3 linked regions of the Saccharomyces cerevisiae S288C genome follow. The protein of the gene in region 2 purifies or fractionates together with the protein of the main gene of each other region. This does not show direct contact. Each region holds a gene or a part of one and is shown on either strand. Other genes may lie near its edges.

Evidence for each region.
Region 1: the proteins of GLC7 (region 2) and CFT2 purify together in Saccharomyces cerevisiae (affinity purification with mass spectrometry; 5 studies listed by BioGRID, with this or other methods). This does not show direct contact.
Region 3: the proteins of GLC7 (region 2) and MPE1 purify together in Saccharomyces cerevisiae (affinity purification with mass spectrometry; 5 studies listed by BioGRID, with this or other methods). This does not show direct contact.

What each region holds. Positions count from the first base shown.
Region 1 is NC_001144.5:376,050-379,807, reverse strand, and holds the start of CFT2 (cleavage polyadenylation factor subunit CFT2), read right to left. Parts: upstream 1,824-3,758; coding exon 1-1,823. Other genes in the region: AVL9 (Avl9p), read left to right, coding at 2,570-3,758. UniProt on the Saccharomyces cerevisiae protein: RNA-binding component of the cleavage and polyadenylation factor (CPF) complex, which plays a key role in polyadenylation-dependent pre-mRNA 3'-end formation and cooperates with cleavage factors including the CFIA complex and NAB4/CFIB.
Region 2 is NC_001137.3:430,467-434,224, reverse strand, and holds GLC7 (type 1 serine/threonine-protein phosphatase catalytic subunit GLC7), read right to left. Parts: upstream 1,731-3,758; coding exon 1,554-1,730; intron 1,029-1,553; coding exon 267-1,028; downstream 1-266.
Region 3 is NC_001143.9:327,633-331,390, reverse strand, and holds MPE1 (cleavage polyadenylation factor subunit MPE1), read left to right. Parts: upstream 1-1,947; coding exon 1,948-3,273; downstream 3,274-3,758. Other genes in the region: NUP120 (Nup120p), read left to right, coding at 1-535; TOA2 (transcription initiation factor IIA subunit gamma), read right to left, coding at 857-1,225. UniProt on the Saccharomyces cerevisiae protein: Component of the cleavage and polyadenylation factor (CPF) complex, which plays a key role in polyadenylation-dependent pre-mRNA 3'-end formation and cooperates with cleavage factors including the CFIA complex and NAB4/CFIB.

The sequences.
Region 1 (3,758 bases), on a different chromosome or scaffold from region 2:
CTCCTTTTGCTAATTGGATCACTCATATTATAACCATCTTCTTCTTCATTTTTGTTATCTTCTTCGTTTACAGGGCTCGTGGTTTTAGCACCGTCTTTGAGAGGTCTTTTCCTGCTATTTTGATTAACATTGTCAGAATCATCAGGTAAAAACATCGTAAAATCTACAACAGTACCATAATCATCTTTCTTGATTTTAGCGGGGTTAAATGGGAACATTTTATGTTTTGAAGCGGCACTTGGTTGAATTATAATGTCTACAGGAACTTCCGTATTTTTTTTCGCTGCTGATTTCTCAGAGTTATCCTTGAGTAAATTCAACAAATTGTCGTTTTCTTCCTCTTCATCATCATCTTCGTCACCCCCCATAATATGATCAATCGGTGGTACTCCATTGACGTTTTCCACTAAAATGTCTTGATTTCTCATTGCCCTCTCTCCGTTGGTATCATCTATGATTGCGTTGCCGTTAGCCAGTTTCTTAGACTCTCTTTTCACCAGTAGAATTTTCTTATTTCTGTCCCTTTTCTTTTCTTTAAGCTGTACTTTAAACGCCTCTGTTTCCTCTTTACTCAAGGGTTCTTCTTTTATGGTGTCTATTGAAATGTAATTATCGCAGAGGAATGATTTACCATCTTCAGGAAATGTTTTCCAATTTCTTTCATCTTGTTCAACAATTTCTAGTATCTTGTCTAAAGACGACGCACATTCAAAGCTCGGCTTGGTCAAAATCAAGGTTGTCTTCTCAGAATTACCAACTTTAATTATCACTTCATTAATCAAAGCTCCTACCTCAGATACGAAGCAAATCTTTGAACCAGGATATTTACTCAATTCGTTTGGTGCGATGATTTTGATCCGTGATCCAATTTCAAATGGAGAAGTATTATTTCTGTTTTCCCATGTCTTAAGTAGTGAAGGGGACAGCCACTCGAGCATTGATTTGGCATATGTTAGAGTTCTTCCTCTCGCGTAAGACAGAATAAGTACAGGTACTTGTGTGTGCGCATTGATCTTTGTGCTTTCAAATAATAACTCATGAACTTGTGTGAACAGGTCCAGAAATTTGCCACTCATATCTACCGGTATTATAACGGACCCATCCGAACTCAAACCTTTCTTTAATGTATCTTTAAAGATTTTTGAACGTTTTTTAAACGGTTGAGAGGAGCCAAACCTGTCCAAAGTAGTAATTATTGCAGAGGGCCTCATCAAAGTTGATAAGGGCTTACCAGTGGCGTCCAATATAGAAGCAGCATTTAGTATGTTATCTCTAGTGTGGTTCCATCGCTTTGCATAAACCAATTTCTCTGAGTATGTGCTAATGCACCAAATAGAACCACCTGGACACACACCAGCATTGTACGCCAGTAAAGTCAATCCATCGTATCTTGATCGTAGATCTACCAATTGCGAGTACTTCAAAGGTACAATATGATCAAAAGATATCTCAATATCTTCAAGATCGAGTTTATTTGTGTCATATGGACCTATAACACCTGCAGATGCATATGAATCTATGGTGGAAACTCTCCCTAAGTTGATAACAGGAAGAGTTGCGTAAACTTGAATTCTGGATATGAAATGCGAGGTAAAATTATAGTACAGAAGGGAATGAGCACCTAAACATTCAATTGTTGGTTGTGATAGTATTATTACATCAATTTCCGGTATCACTTTTTCCCAGTACTTGATGCATTGCTCATACGATACTTTAGATGGATTCCAACCGGGATCGATTAACAAGGTGACGTTATCAAATCGTACCACTGAACCAACGGTGGTTCCTGATCCATCATCACAGCAATTGTATTTATAAGTCATATATATTCGTCGCCCTCAATGTATGTTCTTCATTTCATCTTCTGTGTTATTTCTTTAGCGAACAAATATTCGTGAATTCGATGTTAAAACTGCAGATTGTTTAAGAAAAGCGGGAAAACGCCGCCGAAAGAAAAAATCTTTTTCTAGTAATATTTCTTATTACAACAAACATTGAACATTGAATGACTTCAATCCGTAAGGGTTCATTGCTTGTATAGTTGGACTATATGTCATAGGTGAATCATTATTTCTTGAACTCAGGTTCGCTTTACTCAGTCTAGTGCACGTGAGATTACACTGCAAAAACTCCATGAACCAAAGAACTTACCTTAGACTTGCATTTGGGAGCAAAGTTTACACTAATTAATGCTTTTTATTTTTATTGTCCCAACCTTCTAATGTGTGGATTATTAATGGGGTAAGTTGAACTTCTATTACTTCCATTGAACGTTTGAGAAGTATCATTGCTTAGGAGGTTTGCCTAGCAAAAATAGCCGCTGAAATGATGCTTGTCCGTCGGGTAATGATTATACGAACGGGTAACGGAAGATATGGAAGCTAACCCAACAGAGAGCAGTCAATAATGGATCTTGCATAAGAATGTACGGCCCGATCAAGCATCCTTACAGCTCATTCACGAAGTTTCCTTTTCAAGAAAATTTTGAAGCCTTAAAGGAATCCAAGCAGGAAGACCATATCAAACTAACATATACATTCTGCCTCGCTGCAACCTTGTTGTCAAAATAATGGATGAACACGAGGAAGCAGTCATCTTCGGTATCTGCCTTGTGGACTTTCATCACAAAAGAGGCCCTGAAATAGAATACTGGTATGGCTTACCTGAGGGCACCCAAAGTGCAGAACTATGGCCAAATTTACCCTTCCAGGCCCTTCCTGATGGTTCTCACTCGTTTGAAGAAACATTTACTTATTTCACATTACTATATGATGAAAGAAGACAAAGGAGCCCTCCCAACGGGGCAACTGATCTGAGTGATGATAGCATCAATGACAACACGACTTTGTTTGCCATATCTTGCTCGAGACAGATAAAGAGTGATGAATTGGTCACTAAAGATAAGGATGTAACACGATCTACTGTACAGAAGGCAATTGTAGTCATCTCAAGGCAACCAATCTTCGGTCAAATCAAGGACAAACTTAGTATTGTGACTAATGCTTTTTTCTTGCAGCATGATTTTGGGGACAGGAAGATAATCCAGTCTTTATACGAAAACCTGAAGTCGATTTACACGCCTGCATCATTGGTCAGAAATGCCGAAAATCGTCTTTATATTGGGTTATGTCTGAGAAAGATACTACATGATTTTAAGAGAAACGCTTTAGTCTTATTGAAAGCAATTATGCTTGAAAAAAAAATTATAGTTTACGGCAACGACGTGGAAGCTTTGTGTAATTTACAGTTCGGTCTGATCAGCTTAATTCCGGACTTGATGTCAAATTTGCAGGATTCTGGCAGTCCTCAGTTGTTTCAGGATATTTCGAAATTAAATGTTGTGGACTCGTTTAAATCAAGCAATCGAGAATCAGTGTTGAGATTCTTAGGTTTTCCATTACCGATTTTCGAAAAAGGTGGACTATTTTCACCCTATACTCCACTGCAGCAAATGAATGACATACGGTCAGAACGTACTTTGTTTTTTATGATTGGAAGTTCCAACACATTGCTTGCTGAACAAAAGGAGGAACTGTGCCACATATTTGTCAATACAGACAATTCCACTGTAGATATTCTGGACAAGACTTTGAACCCCGTCCTCCAATTGTCAAGTCATGATAAAAAATGGATTGAATCTATATCTGGAATTGTATCAGACACATGGAACGAAAATGATGATGAAACTCCAAAAAACTCTCAATTTGAAGGCAGTGAGGATTTCATTAGGTGGCAATTCGAGGACTATTTAACGGGGT
Region 2 (3,758 bases):
CACATCTTATTATTATCTCCTTTTTTTTATATTTTTTTTATGTTTCTTATGCTTTTTCGCGGTTTGTTGCACTAAAGGGAATTATTTGTGTATATGACGAGTGATGATTGCATCTTCCTTTGTTTTCTTGATGTTTCTTTCGTATTCTTCGCTTAAAGAATTGACTAAAAGTTTTCTACGTTTATGTTTCTTGTATTTTTCTTCTACTACTCTTCTTGTTAATAAGTATTTTCCTTTTTAAACTTTGATTTAGGACGTGAATCTATTTATTTTTTCTTTCTACCCCCAGCTTGCCTTGGTAGACTTTTTTGGGCTGGCTTTAAAATTTGAAAAGAACATAATAAACTTTCATCAACACTCATCATTGCACCAGCGTTATCAAATTCACCACAATAATTCGGAGCACTGAAAAGTGTCACCAATTGTCTTTTACTAAAGAATTCATAACCATCTTCCACAACTTGATGGGCCCTGCAAATCAACTCCATATCTTGTTTCTGTAAAAATCTGTTCACTACATCAGGACCAAAAGTGAAAGAAACACCTCTATCATTTTCACTCCAACCTACGATATCTTTATCTGGATCTGACCACAATAAGTCACATAATAAGCCAACGTCGGGAATATCTGTTGGCCTCATCACCCTTCTGATCTGTTCCATACTATTCAAATCTGGTGAGAGACCACCATGCATACAGAAGATTTTCTCATCAATAATTGCAGCAATTGGTAAACAATTGAAACAATCCGTGAAAGTTTTCCAAAGTTTGATATTATAACGTCTCTTACATTCATCATAAAACCCGTAAATTCTATTAATGGAAGCACATTCATGGTTCCCTCTTAAAATGAAAAAGTTTTCTGGATACTTAATTTTGTAAGCCAGTAATAGACAAATAGTCTCTAAGGATTGTTTACCACGGTCGACATAATCACCCAAAAATAGATAATTAGATTCTGGCGGGAATCCACCGTACTCAAATAGACGTAGTAAATCATAGTATTGCCCATGAATGTCACCACATATCTAAAAAAAAAAAAAATAGAAAAAAATAAGTTAGTAAATGAATTTGTCACTAAATCTAGCTCATTCCGTTGACTTTAAGAGAACAATTACTGCTGTCAAAAACGCTTCATTTCTCCCAATGCCTTCTGCAAATCCACATTTCTTGGTTTTCGTCCGACCTTTCTCTCGGGCTCAAAAAAAAAAAAGATTCGTTTTCTTCATAACGAAAAAATGCCTTCTTTTTTTAGTGTGAGCAAGGGGGATTTTTCTGAATATGGGAGGCGCCGGCCGGATGATGATACAAAACATAAGGAAATCTTGGTAAAAAAATGCCTAATAAGATAGAAAAATGAAGAGCTAAACACACACATTATCTCGGCTATCTCGACATATGAGTAGGCTAACATCAGATGCTTGGTAAATTCTTTCAGTCAAACGGAAATAACTGCTGTAACTATCTTACTGCCGCAACAGGAGTAGAACACATAAAACACCTGAAGCTCTAGGCATTCTATCTCTTGACTGCGAAGTTCAACATTAACATACTTTAATTGGGGCTTCTAACTCTAGTAAAATGGGTTGCTTTATGAATATAGATCTGGCTTTCGAACATAAGTATCTGATTTCATTTTCTTCTAGATCAACTTGTTGACCAGGTTTAGATCCTCTTACTTCCAATAATCTATCGATGATATTATCAACGTCAACTGGTTGTGAGTCCATTTCTTTAATTTGAATGTATATTGTGGTAATCTGCTTTCCTCTCCCCAGTTACTCGTTCGTTCACCTCTTATTTTTTTTTTCAGTTGTGGTGTTAACTTGTGTTACGTTGTTTTTTTCTTCTTCTTTTCTACTTTTGATTTTTTTTTCCCTCTCTTGTTCCTTGAAACGAACGCTAAAAGAAAAAACAGCAAGAGCAAGAAAAAAAATGGGGGAAGAGCGAATAAGCAATGATTGTTATCTACATAAGGGGTAATTTGGCTAGTTTCTAACTGTCATCCCCATGCAGCCTGTCAAAGACTGATATATGCAGTCAAGAAATAAAAAACAAATTGCAATAAGCTCTCCACTATAGATGGCACAAAAACAGGTTAATAACAAGTAGTTATTACATTCCTCAACGAGATGAGCCAACAAGCAACCAATAGTGCACCTACTTGTCTAACTTTAATTGAGGTTGTGCTCACAAGAAATGTTTTGCCAGGTATCTACCTCAATTGAATAACAACCGCAAAAGCTTTAGTACTAAATTGTCTCTCACCTTGTCTTCAAGAAAAGGGGAAGGTAGATGAGAGAGAAGTCTTGCAATTTTTCTCAACCTTTCAACTCGAATGGAAATCAGGTTGTAAGGGAAGCAATGAAATGTCAGCAAACAGCCACTGACTGTAATTCTTTTGTTGGAGTAAAAATCAACTATCATCTACTAACTAGTATTTACGTTACTAGTATATTATCATATACGGTGTTAGAAGATGACGCAAATGATGAGAAATAGTCATCTAAATTAGTGGAAGCTGAAACGCAAGGATTGATAATGTAATAGGATCAATGAATATTAACATATAAAATGATGATAATAATATTTATAGAATTGTGTAGAATTGCAGATTCCCTTTTATGGATTCCTAAATCCTCGAGGAGAACTTCTAGTACTTTCTACATACCTAATATTATTGCCTTATTAAAAATGGAATCCCAACAATTATCTCAAAATTCACCCACTCTTCATCTTTGAAAAGATAATGTATGATTATGCTTTCACTCATATTTATACAGAAACTTGATGTTTTCTTTCGAGTATATACAAGGTGATTACATGTACGTTTGAAGTACAACTCTAGATTTTGTAGTGCCCTCTTGGGCTAGCGGTAAAGGTGCGCATTTTTTCACACCCTACAATGTTCTGTTCAAAAGATTTTGGTCAAACGCTGTAGAAGTGAAAGTTGGTGCGCATGTTTCGGCGTTCGAAACTTCTCCGCAGTGAAAGATAAATGATCTACTATGATGAATGACATTAGCGTGAACAATCTCTGATACAAAATCGAAAGATTTTAGGATTAGAAAAACTTATGTTGCCTTCCTTCTGAAATTTATTTTTTGTCACTATTGTTATGTAAAATGCCACCTCTGACAGTATGGAACGCAAACTTCTGTCTAGTGGATAACAGAATTTTTCTATGGCCAATTTATTCTTTTTTTTTTCCCTTTTCTTAATGTGCGTATCATTGCCGGGTTTGAAATTTCGAAATTAACTACTAAAAATTACCGCTTTAATGTATGGAATATGTGTATCTTGCTAGTTTTGCGTTGCCCTCGCGATATCCCTATACGCCCACAGTGCAAACACAGTAGAGCTTTGTGATAATACTCGCAAGGAATACAGTACATCAAAAACTTATTACACAGGCTTTCCAGTGCACTCACACCCACTTTACTGTTTTTTCTGCTTTTTTTCTGCTTTTTTTTCTTTTTCTTTTTTTCATCTTACTTACTTGAGCCTAGATAATAGAAGATAGTAAGTTTGGCAGAGCCCAGTCACAAATACAGATTAACCTCTAACAAAGTCCACATCGACACCGTTTCCAACTTGATATCATAAACTTTGGATATTGTATTAAAGTTACCAGTATCACTTTTAACAAATTTTTTTTTTTTTTTGGCTATGCTCATCGTTGCCTGAGTATTCTTTAGTCATTTCCAGTTTCTTCAATAACAAAAAACATTAGTACGCGTTTCTATAATTAGGTGAAA
Region 3 (3,758 bases), on a different chromosome or scaffold from region 2:
ACTGCAAGACTTCAAAGAAAAACAGCATATTCATTATTTAAATCTTTTAATCCACTTCAGAATGTTTGAAGAAGTCTTGGATGTTTTGAGATTGGGTCACGAGTGTCTTTCCGACACAGTAAGAACAAATTTTCTCCAATTATTATTACAGGAAGACATATATTCACGAGATTTTTTCAGCACACTTCTGCGCTTGTGTAACGCACATTCAGACAATGGCGAGCTATATCTTCGTACAGTAGATATTAAAATAGTGGATAGTATTCTGTCACAAAATCTACGGAGTGGTGATTGGGAGTGTTTTAAGAAACTTTATTGTTTTAGAATGTTGAACAAAAGCGAGAGGGCTGCTGCAGAAGTACTGTACCAGTACATATTAATGCAAGCTGATCTTGATGTTATTCGAAAGAGAAAATGTTACCTAATGGTCATCAACGTTTTATCTAGCTTTGATAGTGCATACGATCAATGGATTCTAAACGGAAGTAAAGTGGTTACTTTAACTGATTTAAGAGATGAGTTACGAGGTCTATAGTGAATATATAAACTGTAAATTAATACTTCATTTAAAAAATTGATCAACTCAAATCCGAATATTAGCACCATGATCTTCGTTTGTTTTTTAAGTAAAAAGATTGAACTTTAAATCTAAATTATTATTACATGAATGTACAGACAGGAAAAATAAAAAACAAAAACAGAAGAATCACAAGTTCCCTAATATAAAAGAATACAAAACATTATTTCATGACACTGTTCCTAGAGCTTGTATTAAAAGCGGTAGAAGAGAGGAGATAATAGAGAAATTTCAATGTAACTATTGGTCAACAAAGCATCCGGGCATATAGCATAGATATTACTCGCTCTTTTTTGAGTTACATGCCACAATCCTCAACTTATCCACCGAAATTACACTTTGGCTATCTCCAGACCCGTTCTGGGAGGCGTCGCGGTGGCTGTCCTCAACAGTAACCTGACAATTTTTTACGATAAAAGTCCAAACATCATCGCAAAATCCATATGTGTCCAGGTTTCCTTTCACAGTCAATTTAGATTGGGTATTGTCTTTTAAAGTCTCAGCCACCACTTTGTCAAATGTCTCTAAAACACGCATAGCTAACGACGCTTCTATTCTCCCATCACTAATTAAAGTATCAAGAGCATCCACCAAACTATTCCCTATAGTACTTCTACGATATAATTCGTAATACCCGGGTACTGCCATTTATCCTTACTGTTATCTTCGATAGCCTGTGTCCCCCTCCTAACCTCTAAGTGCATCTTCTACTTATTCCTTATTCGGTCGAATATTTCACAAAGTATTCTAAGGCGTTAAGAAAATATTGTTATTAGTAAAATTAGCTTACCCGGCAATACAACAATAATGAAGCTAACATTATGTTGTATTGACAATTCAGTTCATGTTTGACATTTGCCTAGCAGAAGACATTATCTGCCATGCAACCTGAAAATTCATAGAACTTTTGGAACTTATTTATCTATCTTTCTTCAATTTCTTTGGTTAACACTTTTTTTTTATGTTTTTTTACGTTTTGAGATCATAAATATTTGGAAATATAAATAATCACAAATTCATAACAACTCTTTTTTTAGATAAAGTAAAAACACAGTTATGTATGTAAAGTATTTTAAAACATAAAAAAGGATGATCGACTTGATATATTCATTATCATGTAGTGTATAAGCGGTAAATATAACTACCTTAATCCATTGCTGGTGCAATAACCTTCCTTATGCCATTATATTATGTCACAACATTGTAATTCAGGCGGGTAACTTTACTGAAAGTTAATACAATGATGATGAATATCAAGCATATTGTTAATAACCAAGTTTATGGCCAACATAAAATAAGCAAGAACAATCAAGAGGGTACTGAAATTTCGGTAGCTCTCATCATATCGGCAGAGACTGGAATAGTGTAACATGAGTAGCACGATATTTTACCGCTTTAAGTCTCAACGAAACACATCAAGAATTTTATTTGATGGTACCGGCCTGACAGTATTTGATTTGAAAAGGGAAATTATTCAAGAGAACAAACTAGGTGACGGCACAGATTTCCAATTAAAAATTTACAACCCAGATACAGAAGAGGAATACGACGATGATGCCTTTGTTATACCTAGATCTACTAGTGTCATAGTAAAAAGATCTCCAGCAATTAAATCATTCTCCGTACACAGTCGACTTAAAGGGAATGTGGGAGCAGCAGCTCTTGGGAACGCAACAAGGTATGTTACTGGTAGGCCAAGAGTGTTGCAAAAGAGACAACACACTGCTACAACCACTGCTAATGTTAGTGGTACAACGGAAGAAGAAAGAATTGCTAGTATGTTTGCCACACAAGAAAATCAATGGGAACAAACGCAAGAAGAAATGTCTGCAGCCACACCTGTTTTTTTCAAGTCACAGACGAATAAGAATTCTGCACAAGAAAACGAAGGCCCACCGCCACCAGGTTATATGTGCTATCGTTGTGGGGGTAGAGACCACTGGATTAAAAATTGTCCAACTAACAGCGATCCAAATTTTGAAGGAAAAAGAATCAGAAGAACCACAGGTATTCCAAAGAAGTTTTTAAAATCCATTGAAATAGATCCCGAGACAATGACACCGGAAGAGATGGCTCAGCGAAAGATTATGATTACGGACGAAGGCAAGTTCGTGGTACAAGTTGAAGACAAACAATCATGGGAAGACTACCAAAGGAAAAGAGAGAACCGTCAAATTGATGGTGATGAAACCATTTGGAGAAAAGGCCATTTCAAAGATCTTCCTGACGATTTAAAATGTCCCTTGACAGGTGGTCTTTTGAGGCAGCCGGTAAAGACAAGCAAGTGCTGTAACATAGATTTCTCAAAAGAGGCGCTGGAAAATGCACTGGTAGAGAGCGACTTTGTATGCCCCAATTGCGAAACCCGCGATATCCTTCTCGATTCTTTAGTACCCGACCAGGACAAGGAAAAGGAGGTCGAAACGTTTTTGAAGAAACAAGAGGAACTACACGGAAGCTCTAAAGATGGCAACCAGCCAGAAACTAAGAAAATGAAGTTGATGGATCCAACTGGCACCGCTGGCTTGAACAACAATACCAGCCTTCCAACTTCTGTAAATAACGGCGGTACGCCAGTGCCACCAGTACCGTTACCTTTCGGTATACCTCCTTTCCCCATGTTTCCAATGCCCTTCATGCCTCCAACGGCTACTATCACAAATCCTCATCAAGCTGACGCAAGCCCTAAGAAATGAATAACAATACTGACAGTACTAAATAATTGCCTACTTGGCTTCACATACGTTGCATACGTCGATATAGATAATAATGATAATGACAGCAGGATTATCGTAATACGTAATAGTTGAAAATCTCAAAAATGTGTGGGTCATTACGTAAATAATGATAGGAATGGGATTCTTCTATTTTTCCTTTTTCCATTCTAGCAGCCGTCGGGAAAACGTGGCATCCTCTCTTTCGGGCTCAATTGGAGTCACGCTGCCGTGAGCATCCTCTCTTTCCATATCTAACAACTGAGCACGTAACCAATGGAAAAGCATGAGCTTAGCGTTGCTCCAAAAAAGTATTGGATGGTTAATACCATTTGTCTGTTCTCTTCTGACTTTGACTCCTCAAAAAAAAAAAATCTACAATCAACAGATCGCTTCAATTACGCCCTCACAAAAACTTTTTTCCTTCTTCTTCGCCCACGTTAAATTTTATCCCTCATGTTGTCTAA